Linked DNA regions of Rhinolophus ferrumequinum. The protein of the gene in region 1 interacts with the protein of each later gene in a pairwise test. Links are inferred from orthologs where the notes say so. Each region holds a gene or a part of one and is shown on either strand. Other genes may lie near its edges.

Evidence for each region.
Region 2: the proteins of UBASH3B (region 1) and DOC2A interact in binary tests that used the Homo sapiens proteins (3 or more experiments, as listed by UniProt). The link is inferred for Rhinolophus ferrumequinum from reciprocal best matches to the Homo sapiens genes UBASH3B and DOC2A.

Annotation. Positions count from the first base shown.
Region 1 is NC_046308.1:37,593,431-37,604,119, reverse strand, and holds the start of UBASH3B (ubiquitin-associated and SH3 domain-containing protein B), read left to right. Parts: upstream 1-5,744; 5' UTR 5,745-6,074; coding exon 6,075-6,235; exon of another isoform or gene 6,236-6,371; coding exon of another isoform or gene 6,372-6,472; intron 6,473-10,689. UniProt on the Homo sapiens protein: Interferes with CBL-mediated down-regulation and degradation of receptor-type tyrosine kinases. Promotes accumulation of activated target receptors, such as T-cell receptors and EGFR, on the cell surface.
Region 2 is NW_022680357.1:989,738-1,000,008, reverse strand, and holds the start of DOC2A (double C2-like domain-containing protein alpha), read left to right. Parts: upstream 1-5,320; 5' UTR 5,321-5,395; intron 5,396-5,617; exon of another isoform or gene 5,618-5,698; intron 5,699-5,981; 5' UTR 5,982-6,093; intron 6,094-6,774; 5' UTR 6,775-6,783; coding exon 6,784-7,048; intron 7,049-7,389; coding exon 7,390-7,469; intron 7,470-7,666; coding exon 7,667-7,741; intron 7,742-7,864; coding exon 7,865-7,974; intron 7,975-9,440; coding exon 9,441-9,567; intron 9,568-9,660; coding exon 9,661-9,720; intron 9,721-9,793; coding exon 9,794-9,957; intron 9,958-10,084; coding exon 10,085-10,166; intron 10,167-10,251; coding exon 10,252-10,271. UniProt on the Homo sapiens protein: Calcium sensor which most probably regulates fusion of vesicles with membranes. Binds calcium and phospholipids. May be involved in calcium dependent neurotransmitter release through the interaction with UNC13A.

The DNA.
Region 1 (10,689 bases):
GAGAAAAATATAATCTTTTTATTGGATTGGAGTGATGCTCCAAACTGTTTCAGCCTTAGTTTTTCCTATTGTGTGACATGGCTTCAGAGATTAAACAATCCATCAACAATCATGTAAATGTTACTACACACTTTCTATGTGCCCAGTACTGATGTAGGAACATTTTTCCCATGAGTCCCCAAATGATATAGATGATGTTGGATCTGCCAGCAGTTTCTGGGTGTAGGCCAGGATCGGGTCTCATGAAGCAGAAGAATGGAAACACAGATCCAGGAGAAGCAAAGAGTTTTAAAAAGAGGATAGTTTATTAAAAGCAAAGAGTCAGAGCTCCTGAGTGGGAGGGGGTCCCGAATGGGAGTGGCCCCTGACTGAGGCAAGAGCTCTTATTTTTATACCTTTCCTTGCCTGTTTGGGGAAGGGAAGCTGTTTGAAGAAGGGAACTTGTTTGAAGAAGGGAACTGGCGCCTTCTAATGAAATTCGTCTACCAGGTTTGTTCTGCTTGCCCATCCTGAAGGAATTAGCAAAGTAACCCACTCTTATCTATCAAATCTGCTCCATTTGTCAGGCCAAAAGGAATTTTATGATTAACCTCAAGGCCTTGTTACGTTATGTCCTGGAGCGAAAGAGTGATTTCAAAACCTGGAGTTTCAGGATATGGCTGTCTTTGTTTAGTCCACCAGGGACTTCCCTGTCTACCTAGGGACATGATAACTACCCTGTCTCAGTACTATGTTAAGTCCTAGGGACAAATTTCAGACTGTGAAATAGTCACCAATCTCCAGGTCTTTAGATTTGTTACAATTATGCCTCAAGATATAAGAATGAATGACTTTTTATTTTATTTTATTTTATTTTATTTTATTGAGTTCTAATTGACATATAACATTGTGTAAGTTTGCAGTGAACAACATACTGATCTGATACATTAATACTACAATATGACTGCCATTGTGATGTTCTGTCCAGTCCCATAATTATAATTTCTTCTAATAGTGTGAATAACATTATTTTTAAAGTCCACTTCACTCTAAGATTTCACCTGCGTAGAGGACCACTGTCCTCTCTCCACAACTCACTCCTCAGCTGTCCTTTCCTTCCCAGCAATCTCTTCTCCCTCTTGTCAGTCCTGCTCCATTCCTCTTTACTTTTCTTTTTATTAAATTATGGCCATTCAGAAATAAACTGGGCATTAAAGATCATCTGACACAGTGTTTTTCAGAATGTTTTTTGATCTTCTAAACCACCTTTTCACAGAAAAGCAAACATAAAACCCCCAAGACATAAAGCTAAGAACGTGTACCTGCTCTGAAAAGAGGAGAGATGCCATGCTTCGCCTACTCAACCTTCAGATGAGTAACTGCAACCCTTATTCATAAAGAGTCCCTGAGGGTGAGACAGGTTAGTTAGTATGATTGCTAGGTATATAGGTAGGTCCCTGGTAAAATAAAGAAAAGACAGCCATATCCTAAAACTTCAGGTTTTGAAATCACTCCTTCGCTCCAGGACATAATGTAACAAGGCCTTTAGGTTAATCATAAAACTCCTTTTGGCCAAACGGAGCTGATCTGATAGATAAGAGTGGGTTACCTTGCTAATTCCTTCAGGATGAGCAAGCAGAAGAAACCTGGTAGACAAATTTCATTAGAAGGCGCCAGTTCCCTTCTTCAGACAAGTTCCCTTCTCCAAAGAGCTCCCCTTCCCCAAACAGGCAAAGGGAAGGTATAAAAGTAAGAGCTTTTGCCTCAGTCATGGGGCACCCCCCATTCGGGATCCCCTCCTGCTCGGGAGCTGCAACCTCTTCTCCTGCCTCTAATAAACTATCCTCTTTTTAAAACTTGTTGCCTCTCCCTGGTCCGTGTTTCCATTCTTCGGCTTCACGAGACACGATCCAGGCCCACACTCAGAAACTGCTGGCAGATCCAACATCACCTACATCAAGGGTCCTTTGGCAAAGTCCTAGGAATCCCCAGCCTAAGCCACCCCCTCATTTGGCAGGTGAGGAAGCTGAGACCCCGAGAGGGGCAGAGAACACTTCCAGGTCACAGTCAACACCCAGGCTTCCCGACTCCCATTTCTGGAGCCCTCCCATGGTCTTCCCTTTCTGTCCTTACCACAGGGTTTCAAAATCTTCTGGCCATGAGGAATCCCTTTGAAGTCTAGGGGCTAAAGTCATTTCTAGTGGTTTGAAAACTACCTTCATTTGCCATGGCACCATTGCAGCCCTCAGAACTGGAGACATTCTGTAGACTAAAGTCTACCTGTTCTTAACGCAATCACTTGAAATTTTCTCAAGGGTGGAGAGAAGGAGAAGGAAAACACATAGGATACACTTCAGAAATTATGAGTTCAGTTAACTGGATCCCCATCCTGGCCAGCCCTGCGGCCATTTCAGAAGGGCTAACACACTAAAAGAGTGGCTGGGGCCAGTGGGGGTGGAGTTAAACTGTGTGCACGAAAGAGGTGTGTGTCTCAAGGTAGATCCTGACATGACCCATTGGTGCAGGGGTACATGATAACTAGCTTGTTCTTCTGAGGAAGTAACTGAGTGCTGATGTGTCAGCTCCCTCACTCTGCAAGTCCCCATTTATGCCTCACTCCTCCCACTACTGTCATCAGATATCTGGTTAGATGCATAGTCATGTCTCTTTTCTTTGTAATATAACAATATGGGCATTTATAAAGCTTTCTTTAGTTGTTCAAGGTCAATACAATTAAAACACAATGTATCTTAATTGTTAACCCCTCTACCCCTTGCAGAACAAATGGCAGCAGTCTGAGTGCCAGCACTGAGCTGAAGAAGGGTGAGGAAATCAGGCTGGGATTTCTGCAAGTCCCAGACAAAGCAGTTTTACATCTAAGGTATCTGGTTTTCCACACTGCTTTTTTTCAGGCTACCTAAAAATATTTTTATATCCATCATTTCCTCTTACAGTTTGCCTATCGGCAGGGAGAAAAATATAGGGGTTCAGAATAAATCACCCCAAGATGTGCCTCAGTGGAATATGGATTGTTCTGAACTAAAGGCAACTTTGGCTTCAGGCTTAAGAAAAACTTCTGCCCCTTGCCCCCCACCTTTACTATCTAGAAGAATTTGAATAAGGGACCTTGCCCATAATAAGAGATTATCAGAGATAATCTTTTTTGACCTATCTGTAGGGCAAGGCAAACTTCTAACTACTGAATACCTGTCCTTCTTATCGTCCTGCAATGACCCTTTGAAGCCCCCAAAGCACCTTACCTCTTCTCTTGCTCAGAATGTCTTAGATACCCATTTTCCCTTTGTGTCTTTGAAACTGTCTTGCATGTGAGGTCTCATTTATGTGGGGTCCCAATGTGTACATAAGTACTAATTTTGGTTATTTTATTTTGCTAATCTGTATAGAACCTCGAGGGTAGAGGAAAGTTTCTTCCACTTCTACAAAGACAATTAATTCAATTTTTCTGGAGAAACAGATCCAGCAATTTTATGTCAAGGGGCATAAAAGGAGTCAAAAGGGACCATGTTATTTCAATGGTTGGCATCTCTTCGTCATCTTAACAATGGTGACAAATGGTTGTTTGGGCAAATTTTAAGAGTTCAAATCCTGGTTCTACTACTTACTAGCCATATGATCTTGGACAAGATACTTGACTTCTGTCTGCTTCAATATCATTTGTAAAGTGGCTGATGGTAACATGGTAGTACCTACTTCATTGCCTTGTTGAGAGAGTAAATGAGTTATATGTTTAAGAACCCAACAACAGCAACAGCATATAGCAAGTTCTCAATCAATTTGAACTATTATATTGTGTAGTGCTCATGGTTTACAAAATACTTCCACAGGCTTTAGTAGCTCTTGACTAGGCTCCAGATCATTTGACTTTCAGCCCAGGCTGAAAGAAGGAGAAGTTCAGAATATTGGGTAAGGTCCAGCATCCTTTACTGAACACATCCCAAGGAGAATGTCTACTAGGTGTTGTTTTTCCAGCCCAGTCCTGTCTCTGCTTCATGCCTTGGAGAAGCACTCTGCAAGTCCAGCACATTTCCTCTGCTCTGACAGAAGCTTCTATCTACCCAGGAAGTATGAACTTTCCCTCATCCCTTACACAGCAGGAGGCAGAATTATGCACATTGTTGCTTAAGCCCCAGTAGTCCTTATCTCTTCACTCCAAATACCACTGGATATTCTTTAGAAAACCAATTCTGGGCGAGGAGGATTAAGCTGTACCATTTCCCCTGGTAAAATGTTTAGATGCCTTATAAAGCAACACCAAAAAGCTGCTCGGGAGTGTGGTCACCATCCCTCCTCCACACTCCAAACAGGGGAAAGAGCTGACATTTTTTGAGAACCCAGTGCGTGTAATGCTAGGTACTATGATGCATACAGATAAGGACATGGGGCTGTCCAAGGCAGAAGCAACTTGCCCAGAGCACCACAGTGGATAAAAGCTCTGGCTATGCACTTACCAGCTCTAAGATCTTCCTCAACCTCTCAGAGCTGTTTTCTCATCTGTGAAACTGGGATAGTAATCATATACATTGCATAGGGTCATTGTAAAAATTCAACGAATTAATTCATTTATTATGTTTAGCATAATGGTTGACACATAGAAGAGTCTAATAAATGTTAAGTTTTATTATTATCATTACCTGAAAAAGAGGAGCAGCTAGGGTTTACTTTGTGCCTTTTCCATTACACCAAGTGGGGTCTTTGTCTCTGACTGAGTACAATAAGTTATCTCGGAATGAAAGAGCCTTAACATCTCCCGGGCAAGCTCATGACGTGGGGCATGGGAGACTAGGTGTGGGTAAGAAGTCCATCTTGTTTGAGGTGTGAGTAGTTTTGTCCAACCTACGAAGCAATTCGCTTATTCCTGACGGCTCACCAGTGATGATCCAGTCTTTCTTTGAATCCTTTTATTGACAGCGAACTCATTCTCTAATGAAAATCAACCCATTCCATTTGAGAAAACCATCGAGAAAACCAATTCTGGGCTAGGAGGATTAAGCTGTACCATTTCCCCTGGTAAAATGTTTAGATGCCTTATAAAGCAACACCAAAATCAACAGCATCTTACAGTTAGAGAGCGTGCTTTCTCCGTTCCTTCTCCCTCCACCTTCCTTCTACTTCCCACGTCCTGTCTCTCCTCCTCCTTCCTCCTTTCATCTTCTTTTCTCTTCCTCTTTCTGCCCTGTCCTGTCCCTCTTTTTCCTCTCTCCAACCAGAACTGAGAGCCTGAGGTCCTACTCTTTACCCTGACGTCACTATCTTATTCATGGAGAGCATGTTATGTTTTCAGTATGGCCACTTGTCGGGCTGATAGAATTGGTCTTCAACGGCCATAACAATCCTCTAGGTTTTGCAGAGTCTGTTGAAAGCAAAACCTTTTATCTGGGCCTTCTGTCTTGGCCCTGTAGCTCATTAATGTCATCCATTGGTTCTCTCAGTTTCCGTTATTAACCCCATCTAGAAGGACTTGAAACTTGCATTGATTGATCTGGTGTCTTGAGGCCCATCTGGCCCTATATGCAAGGCATGGAGAAGGTAGGGGCGCTGGGAACAACTCTCGGATCCCAACGCACAAGCAGCCTACGCTGGTTCCAATTTTCCATCTAGAAGCACCGGACTCTACAGCCTGTGCGCTGCCTCCAGCAGCCTCCGGCGGCGCGGCAGCTTTAAGAGAGGGGCGGGGCCCGGGCACAGGCAAGGCAGGGCCAACCCACAAGGTTCCTTTTCCTTTTTGATCCATTCAAAAATTACTCATTGCAAATTCCCGGACTGCTGGGAGAAGAGAAGGAAGGAGGCGGAGGAGCGAAGCTGCTGCAGACGCCGCGCTGGGGGCACCCGGAGGCCCGAGTAGCCGAATTGCTGGCCGGGCCGAAGCTGCTGGCGGGCCGTTCTGGCTTCGGTGGCCTCACCAGGAAGCGTCAGAATCTCGACACCCGGGAAGCTCTGCGCCGCCTCCGCCCTCTCCGCCGCCTCCCGCCCGGCTTTCGGCCCGGAGCCCCCTGCCCTACCGTAGTCTAGCTCCCTCCTCCCTCCGGGACGATCCGACTCGAGCATCTTCCCCGGCGATGGCTGGCCTCTGAGCCATGGCTCAGTACGGCCACCCCACCCCGCTTGGCATGGCCGCGAGAGAAGAGCTGTACAGCAAAGTCACCCCGCGGAGGAACCGCCAGCAGCGCCCCGGCACCATCAAGCATGGATCGGCGCTGGACGTGCTCTTGTCCATGGGCTTCCCCAGAGCCCGCGCGTAAGTAGCCGGGCTTGCAGCCCTTGCGACCCCTCCCGTCCCAAGCGGCAGACCCTCGGCTTCGCTCCAGCTCGCCTCCCGGCGCCTGCGGGACGGGCGGCGCGCTCCCCGCTGCCCACGTCCTGTTGAGGGCAGGATGGGCGCGCAGGAGCCCGGCTCTCATCTCCTCCCCACCGGGGTGCAGGGGAAGATGCCGCGCGGGAGCGCTGTACGGGGGACTTGCTGGGAATGCCTAAGGTGAGGCATGTCTCAAGGAGACGGCACCTGGTTCGAGTCCCGGGAACCGTTCCCAGCGTCCGGCCTCCGCGGGTGGGGCTAAGCTGTTGTCCGCTAACCGCGGAGCCCCTGGGGAGGCGGGGCCCCATTGGGGATTTAGGTATCCTCTTGATCCGGAACGCAGGGCTAGCTTAGGATCCTCTTGATGGCTGCGAGACGGTAAGGGACCAGCGGGGCAGTGAGGCCGGCGCTCCCACTGCAGCGGCTTCCAGGTCCGGATGCTGCTCTCTGGTTGGGTCTCTCACCGGAGTAGGAGGAGCGGGATCGTGGGTGTTGCTGCGTGTTCATTGATCGGGAGGAAGGAATAAGGAAAGCAGTTCTTTCAGGGGACCTGAGTTCTTGTCAGTGGTGATGGCAGCGCAGAAATCTGTGGGTGCCTGAGAATAAGGGGGGGGGGGAGCTGTCCTCCAACATCCTTCTTCCCCAAGGAGGGTTGAGTAGGGAAAGGCAGAGAAAGCGCAGGTGGCTGCCCCTGCTGCCTGCTGCGAAGAGGCCTGATCCCAGCACAAGGCAGCAGCAGTAGCAGCAGGGGGCTTCTGAAGCTGGGCATCCAAGATTGTGGGGCCGGAACCCTGCCTAGAAGGAAGCCAAGGCCCAAAGGTCAGGCCCTTCTCCCTTGGTTGCTTACAAATTTCTTAGGTGGGAACAGACAGCCTGGGATCCCGTGGGGTGCTGCTTCTTTGAATTACATCACCTGGAGTGGGAGGTGGGGGAAACTTTATTAGGAAGGGCCAAGTTAATGAAACTTTTTTTTCTCCCCCGCCCCCTTCCAATTTTCAGATGATAACTCTAGGTTTCCCTTCCAGGGCCTCTGGGCAAACCTTGATTTTTCTTTACTAACCTGGCTGTAACCTCTTAATCAAAGCAGACCTCTGATTTTATCATTCTACCAAGCCTGCTGGGTCAGGTTGGCGTGGCCTTGGAAGGCCATAATATGGACTGATGTTTCTGTCTCCCACTGGCTTCCAAGCACAGGGGCTTCAGTTCCTGATGCCAGAGTTGCAGGGAGCAGTTGTGGTGGGCTCTGCAGGGGTGTGTCAGGTGTGGATGCTGCAAGTTAGGTCCTTCCTATGGATGATGGCTGCACATAGCCTATGGATGATGACTGAGCATAGCTCTCCTTACGAATGGTAGATAGGGGCCTGGAAGTCTGTTGGGCGATGCTGCAGAATTAGCACAGTCCCAGGCATTTTCCCTTTATGAAATGAGGCCAGTGTAAGGAACTATTAGGTTGGTGCAAAAGTAATTGCGGTTTTTGCATTTATTTTTAACCTTTTAAACTGCAATTACTTTTGCACCAACCTAATAAATTGCTTAATTAAGGGAAGAAATACTTAACTCCTCAGACCATCATGTTTGCTATTCAAACTGGCTTTAAAGGGACATCTTTTTCCTGCACTTGTCCATGTCCTGATAGATTAGGATGAGGGTCTAATTTTGGCTTGTTCAACCACTGAGATCTCATTACAACTAGCATTTGCTGATCACTTACTATGCACTGTTCTAAGCACTTTACCTACTATCTATTTTATCCTCCTAGCAACCAAACAAGAAAAGTATTTATGTGCCCATTTTATGAATTGGGAAACAAAGGTTTAGAGAGATTATGCAACTGCTCAGGGTCACAATAGGAAGCAGTGAATGTGGGATTCAAACCCAGTCAGTGCGCCTGCTCAGCTCAGGCCTCATATCCATGGCTGGAATGTAATGCATCAACGTGGGTAACATGTTAGTGCAATGCCCGGCACATAGTGGGCACTCATTAGGTGTTAGCTATTATGTTAGTTTCTGCGGCTGCTGTAACAAGAAACCACAAACTGGGTGGCTTAAGCAACAGAAATTTATTCTCATACTGTTCTGGAGCCCAGGAGCCCCAAATCAGTGTCACTGGGCTGAAATCAAGGCGACAACAGGGCTATGCTCCCTCTGGAGGTTCTAGGAGAGAATGCATTTTTTGCCTCTTAGAGCTCCTGGTGGCTCCTGGCATTCTTTGGCTTGTGACTGCATCACTCCAATTTCTGCCTCCATGGTCACATTACCTTCTCTTCTGTGTCAAATCTCCTTCTGTGTCTTCTGTAAAGACATTTGTGATTGCGTTTAGTGCCTCCCCGGGTAATTCAAGATAACCTTCCCATCTCAAGATCCTTAATTATATCTGCAAAATCATTTTTATTTTATTTTTTTGCCATAAGGTAATGTTCACAGGCTCTAGGTACTATCTAGGTCTCTATCTTTTGGGGGGCCGTTATTCCGCCTACTACAGCTGTTATTATGATTACTAGCACTGCCTCTCTTTACTGGAAAGGTGACAGAGTAGATCATGATAAAATAGTCTAGTTGGGAGGGAGGTTGGCTTTGCTATTCTGTTTCCCTCAGATGCTCTGCGTTGGAGTGGGCAGAGCCCTTGGCAGTTACATGACCCCTGATTTCCACTCCCTCCCCAGGCTGGCATCTCTTTTACCTCAACCTGCAAAGGCTGATGTGGTCAGCCTTCCCCTTAATAACTTACCTCAGGTCAGTAAGAAGAGGGGTCTCTCCACAGGACCATCCATCGGAGATTTCAGAGAGCAGACTTTTAACTTTATTTTAGAGAGTTGGAAAGGAAGAGAACCAGGGCATCAGGCTTAGCTACTCAGAAGCCTCTTTTTTAGGTCTTAAGCCTGGAGGAAGGAACATGATGAAATTGAAAGCAGGAGACAGCAGGAATGGTTTCCTGGGATCAGGATGACTTAGCTGTGATGGGAAGATGGGATGAGACCAATGTCTGGAACATGGCCCTTTGGAGAGAATGGTGGTGGCCAAGGCTGACAGCTCTGGTTTCCCCTCTGGGTGTAACTGGGCCTGGTGTTGCTCATCAGGAAGAATGGACATTCCCCCTGGCTCAGAGTCCAACAAGGTCCAGGTCCCATTCTAGGCTGTGCAGTTCTGTGGTCTTGGATAACTCACTTAAACCCCCAGGGCTCCACTGACTCCCTCTGAAGGGGACAGGATTACTTAGTGCATGCTTCTTAAGTGCTTGATGGAGCTACAGGGAAGAAGTGCTGAACAAGCAGGTGACCTCAGGATGTGTTCTTTCTAGCTCACTACTCCCCTGGAGCTGCGCTGGGTTTTTTCCATCCTACCTTATGACCTTCAGCCCAACTTAGACACTGCTGTGGAAGAACCCGCCACATGGAGGATTGAGGAGTGGTGATTTTTTGGTGTGTGTGTGTGTGTGTGTGTGTGTGTGTGTGTGTGTGTGTGTTTAAGCAAGCAGAACACAAAGAGGTATTAGGAAGGCCTCAAGAAGAAAACTTTCAAGGGGCCCAAATGGCCTATCCCTTCCTTTTTCTTTCTATGCCCAATCGCTCTTCTCTGTTCCAAAAGTTCTAAAGGTAAAAGTCTAGCTTTGTCAAGACTGGAGTGAGGTTGGTGGAAAGAAAAGGAAGAGTGTGTATGCTGGGCAAAGGCCTGAGGAAGAGGACGCCTAAGGCCAGGAGGAGCTGTGTGGAGAAGACCAGACAGGAACTCTGATAGAGTCGTTGCTTTGCATAACCCTACGGGATTTCATCCTATCCCCCTACTGGCCTCTCTGTAGCTTGAGGCCAAGTGTGGGAACCAGTCACTGAACAATAAATTTGAGGAGCCCTGGCTGACAGAACTGTGCCTTTTGTTTTGGTTGGGGTTTGCTTGAAGCTGCCTGGGGCCAGGACTTTATCTATAGCCAGTGGCTTTTGAATGTTTCCTAATGAATGACTGAGACATGTAATCTTGCAAAAGGACACTGTGACAGTAGTCAGATGTCCAGAGTTCTAGTTCAGCTTCTGACTGACACTTAAAACTTTTTGGTCTTCCGTTTAACCCCTTTTTATCAATATCCTGACCAGCTTCTGTGTGTGGCAATACCTGTCCTGTGTAACTAACAAGGCTTTGTAAAGATAAAATGAGATCAGGGTAGGAGAGGACTTAGAGAAATTAAAAGTATAATCTGGACACAAGATCGATGTGATTATGGAATTATTGTGTTGGACTGGAAGAAAAGGAAGGAGATGACATGCTGATTGAGGTTCTAGGCAAGGATTTACATGGCTCTTGTCCTTTTTTCCTACCGAGAATGTTTAAACGATGCTTAAACAGGAGGACAGTGGCAGAAAGAAAGAGCTGGAAAAAGTGTCTTGGCTCTGGAAAGGAAGCTGTGT
Region 2 (10,271 bases), on another chromosome or scaffold:
TGCTAGAGCTGGAACCTTCCCCCCAACCCCACTGGAATCAAGGGGAGAGGTTGGGACCCACAGAGCCTCATCCTTTGGGATGAACAGTGGCAGCCCCAGAATTTAGAAACAGGAGAAACTTGGTGGCACTAAGGGACACGCATTAGTATAGAAGGTATGGGGACTTCTAGGGGCGGCAAGGTTCCACCCCTCTCGTTACCCCTTGGATCGACCGCAGGAGCATTTATTGAGCACTTCTTACTATGCCGAGTACTTGACATGGACTGACTCGCCTAACCGGCTTAACAACGCCAATGAGGTAGGTCCTCCAGGCCTCACTACACAAACGAGGGAACCAAGGCACAGACGGGCAAAGTGATGTGAGCAAAGCACACTTCCCAGGGATGTGGATTTTCCTCCCTGAGGCTCCCTCTGGCCTTGTGGCCCCCAATCCAGGCGCCTCGGGGGCTCCCCAATTCCCAAACTGGGTCTCTCAGTGCCCAGCTGCTGACCCTGGGGCTGGGAACAGGAGAAATAACAGGCTTTTCCCACTAGGTGGCAGCAGTGTTCATGCCTGCCTGCCTGTTTCCCCTCGTCCTGCCCCAGAAAGACACTGCTCCCCAACTCCTGGCCCTTCACCGCCCTTTTTCCTCAGGTTGCATCACGTGCTTCAGGAGGAAGTATTGCCAGGGAAGGGCAGGCATAGGGGTTATCAGAGGAAGCCCTCTGGCCCGTCTCTCAAGGCAGGTCTTTTGGTAAGGCCCAGAGCTTTCACAGGCTCCCCTTTCTGGGTGGGTTCCCCCACAGGCCATCGCATTTTCCCTTCCTAGTCTCCGATTTTCTCTTATATGTCACTTCCCAACAGCCACTTTCACTCCTGCAGCCCCCTTCAGCTTCAGAGTTAGTTCCCCTCTGATTGGTAGGTAGGCCTGTCTGTCACAGGTGTCCCGCCCTACCCAAGCCCAAGGACACTCCAGGGTCTCCTTGGTTTTACTACACAGATGCCTGTTCAGCAGCCTCTGACAGTCCCAGGTCCATGACTACCCCTGAGCCACACATGTGTCTGTAGTGTGTGTGAGGTCGCCTGCCCTACGGATGGAGGCTCCCTCCTCTGCTGGCTCCCCATCCCTCATCTTTCCTGCCCTCAGGGACCACCCACCCATTCTCCTCACAGTAACACTGGGAGGCGCTTGCCACAGTCAGCTTCCCAAAGAAGAAAAAGGCCCAGAGAGAAAAGGAGGAAAGAGGAGGGAACCTAACCTAACATCTTGGGGACTGGCTCAGATGGGCCTTGTCTCCTTACACTTACCTCTTCTAAGAAAGAGGAAGTGAATTATCCAAAGTCACAGGCCTGTGAGGGGCAGCGGGGACTCAACCTGCTTCCTGGCTCTGGGCCAGGGCTCTAGCCCCAGCCCCGTGTGCAGCTGCTCCTGGGGTTTAGCGGGGAGAAGGGGTTCAGAGCCTTTCGCCTTTGCCGTGGAGTTTGCAGTTTCCTCAGAAGAATACAGCTGCCCTCTCTCCCAGAAAAGACTCAAGCAGTAAAGTATCCATTCATTTCTTCACCCAACTATGAAATAAATGTGCTGAGCTCCTACTGTGTGCTGGGCTCCACGGTGGCTTAGACAGAATCTCCAGGGCTTGCTCTCTGCCCTGGGGCACTCAGGGGAGAGAACGCCTGGGTACGCACCACTACAGTACAGACCAACAACCTCTAAGCGACTGCTATGTATGCTGTCTCTTCTCCGTCACTTCGAATGCATTTGTCAGCCCCTTCAGACCTGGCTTCATCCCCAACACTCTCCTGAAGCCACTTTTGCCAAATCCACCAATGACCTCATAACTTGCCAAATGTAATGGTTACTTCTCGGTTCATTCTGCCTCAGCTTTCTGAGCCTGCAGCCTCCAGAACCATGCTCACCGATTTTCTCTAACCAGCTCAGCCTTGGACCTTTCTCTTTTCTATCTATATTCTCTCTCCCTAGGTGATCTCATCCAGTCTCATGGCTTTAAATACCATCTATAAGCTGATGACTCACAAATGTATATTTCTAGCCCTGCCCTCTCCTCTGAGCTCCAGACTTCTCCACCCAACTTCCTGTTTCATGTCCACAAACATCTGGAATTTAACAGACCCCAAACGGAGCTCTGGATTCTCCTACCCCAAACCTGCTGCTTCTTTCCATCGCAGCAAAGGGTCTCATGATTCCTATAGATGCTTCATTCAACACAAAAGCCCAGGAATCATCTCAGATCTCTTCTTGTCTCTCTCCTGACGAACTCATTATCAAGACCTGTAGGCTTAGTTTCCAATAGCAATCTCAAATTCATCCACTTCCCTGCCCCCTCCGGCTGCCCGCCTTGTTCAAGCCAACCCCATGTCTCACCCCGCTTATTACTGCCACAGTCTGCAGATTGGTTAACCTCTCTATTCACTCTTCCCCTAGGGAGAACAAACCAGAAAACGCAGATTCACTACTGAAAACCCTCCAATGGCTTCCCATGGCTCCCGTGTGAGTTCTGAACGTCTTCGCCTGACCTGTAAGACTTTTGCCCAACCCTGTCCACCTACCCTACTCGGCTCTTTCCAGGCTCTTCCTTCGTCGGCACGCTCCAACCTTGGCACACAGCTCTGCCCGGGACGCCGCTGCCCACACTGGACCCCGGGCTGGCTCCTCTCCGCCGCAGAGACAACACTTCCGGGGTGGGGGGCGCGCCTGCGCTTCCACACCTTGTGACCAGCCGAGGTTACCGATTCAGTCTCACTGCATATTGTCTGTCTCCCTACAAGGCTGTGAAGCCAGAGAGTGTTCACCTTGGTTCATCAGAGTCGTAGCACAAGAGATAGTAGGTAGTCAATACATATTCATTGACTTAGTGGATGGACGGACAGACAGAAAGCCTTTCCACCTGCTGATATACCCCGGGCTCACCGCTGTCTGTGTTCCCCTACAACTGGCTTGAGCTCCAGCTCCCCTTCACCTCCGACAAGCCTCTCTGGGGGACACTACTGGGCCTGAGCCAAGCCCCTTAGGAAGACCACAGCAGAGGCTGCCCGGCTGTAAGCCTCTGGCCCAGCCTGCCCCTCCCCTCACTGCAGACCCAGGTCCGCCTGTCACCAAAGCCACCAGCTCCGGTTGTGGATGGCCTCTCCCTTAGTTCCACCTCCTTCCTTATCCTGGAGAGCCCCAGCGGAAACCTAATGGTTGCCTTTACTTAAAATAATACATTCTTTTGAATAGGTAACATAGGCACGTGGTACACAATTCAAAAGATACAAAGCGTGTACCTTGAAAAATCACTCCTGTTTCCTGCCTTGCCCTGCCTCAGAGCTACTTCCTCAGAGGTCGCCACAGTTACCACTTTCTGGTGCAGCCTTCCAGAAATAATTTATGCACAAATAAACAAACACGTATAAACTCTTTTGGCCTCACTCAAATGGCAGCATTTGACACACGCTGCTCTATACCTCACTTTTTTCAGTACAGAAAGGGACTCTTTCTTTGTCATGGCTGCATAGTATTTCATTGTATGAAACTGTGTCATAACTGATTGAACCTGTCCCTTACTCGTGGACATGTAGGTTGGTTCCAATCTTGTGCCACTGCAAATAAACTTGAACTTTTATTATTCTGCTCATGGAGCAGAATATGTCTATGGGATAAAATATCCACTATGTCTATAGGATAAAATCCTAGAAGAGGCACTTTGGAGTCAAAGAGTCTGCGAGTATGTTTTTGCCATCTTGGGATCCACGGTCAGACTGGCCTCTGAAGAGTTGGTCTCCATTTGCCCATAACTTCGCCCACATTGTGTGTTACCAGATGCTTGGAATTTTGTCATTTGATAGATGACAAGTGCTTTCTCAGTGTCGTTTGACGTTGCATGTCTTTTTAAAAACATATATCTTGGAGCCAGCCCGGTGGCTCAGGCGGTTAGAGCTCTATGCTCCTAACTCCGAAGGCTGCCGGTTCGATTCCCACATGGGCCAGTGGGCTCTCAACCACAAGGTTGCCAGTTCGATTCTTTGAGTCCAAGGGATGGTGGGCTCTGCCCCCTGCAACTAAGATTTAACACCGCACCTTGAGCTGAGCTGCCTCCCGCGTGGCTCAGTTGGTTGGAGCACGTCCTCTCAACCACAAGGTTGCCGGTTCGACTCCCGCAAGGGATGGTGGGCTGCGCCCCCTGCAACTAACAACAGGCAACTGGACATTGAGCTGAGGTGCACCCTCCACAACTAAGATTGAAAGGACAACAACTTGACTTGGACAAAAAAAAAGTCCTGGAAGCACACACTGTTCCCCAATAAAGTCCTGTTCCCCTTCCCCAATAAAATCTTAAAAAAACAAAAACATATATCTTAACTATTTTCAAGCATTCAGTTCAGTAAAGTATATTCACATTGTTGTACAATTGCATGTCTCTTACTTTTAAATCACAGTTTTTAGTAATGCTAACTTAGTACCGGCCCAGCTCGGGGCAGCCTCTGCTCCCTGGTGGAGGGTGGGGAGAGATAGAAATGGAAGCAGGCATGACAAGCGTCATCAGAGCTGAGCCTGAGGTAGCACTGGAAGCTGGGGGCAGAAGGGGGATGCTACCGGAAGGCTCCTAGAAAGAGGGGACTGACTCACGGGTGACCCTTGAAGGAAGGGAAGGCCCTCCAGGTGAAGGAGCTGAGGTGAGCGAAGGTCCAGAGGCCTGACAGATCCAGGTGTGGGGGTGGCCCGTTAGCTCAATTGGTTAGAGCATGGTGCTGGTAGCACCAAGGTTGCAGGTTCCATCCCCGCATGGGCCACTGTAAGCTGCGCCCTCCTTAAAAAAGAAAGAAAGAAAGAAAAACGCAATACAGAGATCCAGGTGTGTTCTAGGAACTGCAAGGAACGTTCCTGAGAGCCGGCGCCAGGAACAGGGGTGATGAGCTCACAGAAGTCAGGGTGCTGGGCAGAAGGGCCTTGGAGGTCCCTGTGAGGATGGACGCCTTTGGGGGATAGCAAGCTTGGGACAAAGGAGAGCTGGAGTTAGACTGACAGGTGGCAGGGTTCCGGTGAGAAACGGAGACAGCTGAGGAAAACTGAGCGAAGCCTGACGCCCCTCCCCACCTGAGGGACAGAACTGGAGCGGGTGGGGGGAGGGACAAGGGAGGGTGGATTTGCAAAGGAGATGCCATCCCTGTGAAAGGGACACCGGCCCTTGGGGGTTGGGTTGGGTCACTAGGAGAGACGCCTGAACAGCCGAAGGAAGGAAGGAGCCGTGGGAAACACACAGCCTCGGACCTCTGCCTCCTCCCTCAGGCTGTGAGGTCCCCCAGCTGGGCTGGGCGACCCTGAGATCCCAGGTCAGCGATCGATCGCAGGCGGATCACTGCGCCCGGGTCACTGCGGACCTCCAAGCTCCGCCCCACCCCCGGGCCTACCCACAGGTTTGAGGACCAGAGGGCCGGACGCCCTCCTCCCTCCCCCGCAAGCTCTCTGCGGGTGGGAGCGTGAGGATGCACCCGGGGAGAAAGGGGGGCAGCCTGCGTCGCCACGGCAACTGGGCGGGTGGCCGGGTCTTGGAGACTCTATAGGGAACCAAGGAGAGAGCGAGGGAGGGGGCCCGTGGGCTCGGCGCGGGGGCAGGGGCGGGGGCTGGGTTTCCGGGGTGGAGTTGGGGAACACCCGGCAATTATCACTGCAGGTGCCCGGTGGCTCCGGGAGCTCGTGTGTGTGTCAAGTTTCCCGGGGTGAGTGTGTCAGCGCGTGTCTGGGTCTGTGCATGTGTGTGAGCGTGCGCACGTGGGCACAGGCGTGTGGGCGCGAGTGCCCGTGCAAGATGCGGGTGCCAGCCTGCGTGCCCGGGTGTGCGTGCACTCGTGTGCGCTTCCAAGTGTGCCCGGGGGGCGCCGGCCGGAGAGTCCCGGCCGCCCCTCCCCGCCCCTCGCCTCCCGCGCCCGCAGTCTCAGCGCCTCCACCTCGCTCACCCCCTCCTCCCGCACTTTTCTCCTCTCCCTCCCTCTCCGCGCACAGCCGGACTCCGCACTCTTCTCGCTGGCTACCCTGGGAATCGCTGGCCGCCACCGCCCAGCCTGCACCCGCCGTCCCCCCAGTGCTTGCGCACCTGTTGGAGGCACAGAGACAGGTGCAGGGGGCTGGGCCGCCGGGGGCGTCAGGGGGAGGGGAGTGTGTGCGTTAGGCTGCGTGTGCCCACGGGGCTTTTCACCTCTCCCGAGGCTGCAATTTCTGGCTCTAGAAAGCCAGTCTCAGGAGGAGGCATCTGAGCTGGGGCGGGGGTGGGGGGGTGGGGGTGGTGGTGGTGTCTCACCTTGGGCTGCAGTGGGTGGGGGACCAGGCACGCAGGGAGCTCCTGGGGCAGATTGGACAGTGGGGAGTGAATGTCTAGAGGGGTGGGCGACACCCGGACCAGACAGGCGCCTGGTGCAGAAGGATGGATAGAGCCTCAGAGAGACAGAGGAGGGGCTTCGGGGAGTAGGCAGGGCCCAGGGGCAGACGGAAGGCCAGAATGAGGGGCAGGAGCTAGGAAGATGACAAAGGGACCATCCAGAGATAAGTGGGCAAGGCTGAGATGCAACCGGGACCTATCTGGGGAGAGTGGAGCAAGGCTGGCGGTCTGGAGGCCCCGAGCCTCCTGCCTGCTCATCAGCTGGCACAGGCTGACCTCTCTCTGGACACCTAGGAGGGGAGGCCACAGACCAGGGAGGTTGCTGCCTGGCCCTCCACCGGCAGACTGTGGGTATAAGCAGTGGGCAGTGCACTGGCGCCCGCTCTCTGGAACTTGAACCTCCCCCCCCCCGCCCCCCAGGGGTGCTGCATGAGGGGCCGCAGGGGTGACCGTATGAGCATCAACATCCAAGAGCACATGGCCATCAACGTGTGCCCGGGGCCCATCCGGCCCATCCGCCAGATCTCCGACTACTTCCCCCGCCGGGGACCCGGACCCGAAGGGGGCGGCCGGGGCTTTGGGGAGGTCCCTGCCGGGCTGGCCCCCCTGGCCCTGGCGCCCCCTGCAGCCCTCCTGGGGGCCACCACGCCGGAAGATGGAGCTGAGATGGACAGCTATGATTCGGATGATACCAGTGAGTCGGGGGCTGGAAAGCCCCAGGCTGCTCTGGGGGCCTCCTGGCTGGTGGGAAGGGGACGGGCCCTGCTGGGTGTGTGAGGGGGAAGCAGCAGCGGGCGCTGTCACAGCTGCAGTCACTGTGGAGATTACAGCTTCAGCAAGGCTCAAGATTCAATATTTCTGCTGAGACACTCCACCACCCACACAGCCCCGGCGGCAGCAGCCCAACCAGGGACCCAGACGCACACACTCGCGGCGGCCAGACACAGAGCCCCGCACACACAGCCGGCCTGCCCACCGGTCCCGCACACACACCTGTGTGACACTGCCTCACGCCGCCTCTTCCCTCTGCTCCAGCTGCCCTGGGCACACTGGAATTTGACCTTCTCTACGACCAGGCCTCCTGCACTCTGCACTGTAGTATCCTTAGGGCCAAGGTGAGTGCCTGACCTCGCAGCCCCAGCTCCGTTTGCTCCCACCAGGAGGGGTGGGTTTCCATCCTCCTTCCCCTTCTCCACGCTGGACCCCTGCTCCCCTCTCCATGCACCCCCACAACCCCGGATCCCTTCTTCTTGGCTCTCCACACTCTGCAGGGGGGGGTACCGGGAGCTCACTGCCTCCCCCCACCCCCCAGGGCCTCAAGCCCATGGATTTCAATGGCCTGGCCGACCCCTACGTCAAGCTGCACCTGCTACCTGGAGCCTGCAAGGTAACAGCTTCCGCCCTCCCCTAGCCTGACCCAGCTGGTGGGTCTGTCCCCAGCCTTCCTTGGCTTTCAGCCTCTGTGGCTCTAGAGGACATGTACTGAGAACTCTTTGTCCCCACACCTTAGGCCAATAAGCTGAAAACGAAGACGCAGAGGAACACGCTGAATCCCGTATGGAACGAGGACCTGATGTACAGCGGGATCACAGATGACGACATCACCCACAAGGTGCTCAGGTGAGGGGCCCGTCCCCCCTGCTGACCGGCACCCCCCCCCACAGCTGTCCTTGGAACCTTTGGTTAATCCACCTCCCATGAGCCCCTCTCAGATAGAGGCGCCCCAACCCCTTAGGCAGCACAGGCCAGAGGATTTCCCTGGCATTCCTACCCGCCCCCAACATGTCCTACTGTTCCTCCAACAGAGGACTGCCCTCTCCTGATTGACGGGGGTCCATTACTCCTGAGTTGTGCCTGTTGTCTCTTCTACCTGGAAAGCGCTCCCTCATCCCCTCTTTCCGCCACCCTAAATGCTCCTCATCATTTGAGGCTCTGCCTCCTGAAAGCTTTCCCTGGTCACTGACACCCCTTCTCAGAGCCCCGGACTTAAGCCAGACGTAGGCAGCGGACTCCTGCCCATTCTGTTGCCTCTGTTCCCCCAACATCTCTAAGGAGTGACATCTTAGGGGACAGGAAACTTGCTCCGTCATCCCAGGAGGTGGAGCTGTGGAGAGTCCTCCCAGGCGAGGAGTGAAGGGCAGCAAGACCCAGGCTCCTGGGAGAATGTCTCCTTTGTTTTTGGGCAGTAGGGAGCCATCAGGGCAGGGGCACATGGGTCAGCTCAGGGCTGTTTCCCAGAGGTCACCTTGGTGCTGGGTGGGGGCGGGCTGGAGGGGAGGCGGAGGTGGAAACCAAAAAGGCTGGCCCGTGTTTCAGATGTTGGAGAACACGGCCTAAACCACTGAGTGCTCACCAGTGCCCGGCCCTGCGCTTCGCGTGCTTCCGTTTCTTCCTTTCACTGGGTCCTCACTGGGTCCTCGGAAGATCTGTAGGAGGGTGTCCTCCTCTCCATTTCAGATGTGGGAATCGAGGCTTAGGGCGGCAACTTGGCCAAGGTCACACGGTTGCTAGGAAGTGGCAGAGCTGGGACTTGAACCAGGAGTGTCACAGCGGCAGGAAGGGCAGAAGGGGAAGGCAGAAGTCAGAGCAGTCCTTCCGTCTCTCTGGGCTCCCGCATCTCTCCCAGGCTGGCTCCCCGCGCCCTGCAGCACAGGAGCTCCAGGGGAGGTGTGGGTTCCTTGTCCGCCGGCCCAGGGCTCCTCCAGGCCGTTCTGGCGCTCACACCCTGAATCTATGACCCACATGCGCCGTGCACACCCTGTGCACAGTTAGCTGGATCCATCCGCAGGCCCTACATGGAGGCGGGGATGAGGAGGGTCCCCAAGAGGCGTGAGGGCTTCCGGAAGTAGCTGAGCGGGTCCTCATGGGCCTGGGCAGCTGGAAAGGGGGGGCCAGAGGAAACAGCGTGAGTGAACGCGTGCTTCTCAGGCGCCAGGCATGGGCTCACCAGCCTGAGACGGCCCGTTTTACAGGTGAGGTGCGGGGTGTTGGGGGCAGAGCTGGGAGCAGCCCCCCAGTGCTCAGGGTCCAGCAGACGCCCTTTCTCTCACACTGAGGGGGGCCCTGACCTTGCCGTTCCCCGCCAGGATCTCCGTGTGTGACGAAGACAAGCTGAGCCACAACGAATTCATTGGGGAGACCCGTATACCCCTGCGCCGCCTCAAGCCTTCACAGAAGAAGCATTTTAATATCTGCCTCGAGCGCCAGGTCCCGGTCCGTGTGTGCGGGGCGGTAGGGTGCCCACGGAGGGATCCCTGCGCTGGCCAGGTTTCCAGAATCTTCTCTTTGCCCCCCCCCCCCCCCCAGCTGGCTTCACCGTCTTCCATGTCGGCAGCACTGAGGGGCATCTCCTGTTACCTGAAGGAGGTGAGCTGCCTCCGGGGGACCAGTCTGGTGGGCGGTGGTGGGGATGCAGACTGACCCCCGTGTCTGCCCCAAGCTGGAGCAGGCGGAACAGGGGCCTGGGCTGCTGGAGGAGCGTGGACGCATCCTGCTCAGTCTCAGCTACAGCTCTCCACGCCGGGGCCTGCTGGTGGGCATCGTGCGCTGTGCCCACCTAGCTGCCATGGACGTCAACGGCTACTCTGACCCCTATGTCAAGACGTGAGCCCTTGCCCTGCCCCGAGGCCCACCCTCCACTCCCCAGGGAGCCTGATCCCTGCCCTGTCACCCTGGGGCCTGGCCTGTCTCCCCCCACCCCACTCCCTGCCTTGTCCCACCTTCTCTGCAGGTACCTGAGACCAGACGCAGATAAGAAATCCAAGCATAAAACAGGTGTGAAGAAGAAGACTCTCAACCCTGAATTTAATGAGGTAAATGCAGCCGGGACCAGAAATGGAGGGGAGCGGGGGCTGGGGGCTGGCACTTTCACAGACAGTGTGGCTTGACCTGTCCCAGGAGTTTTTCTATGAGATGGA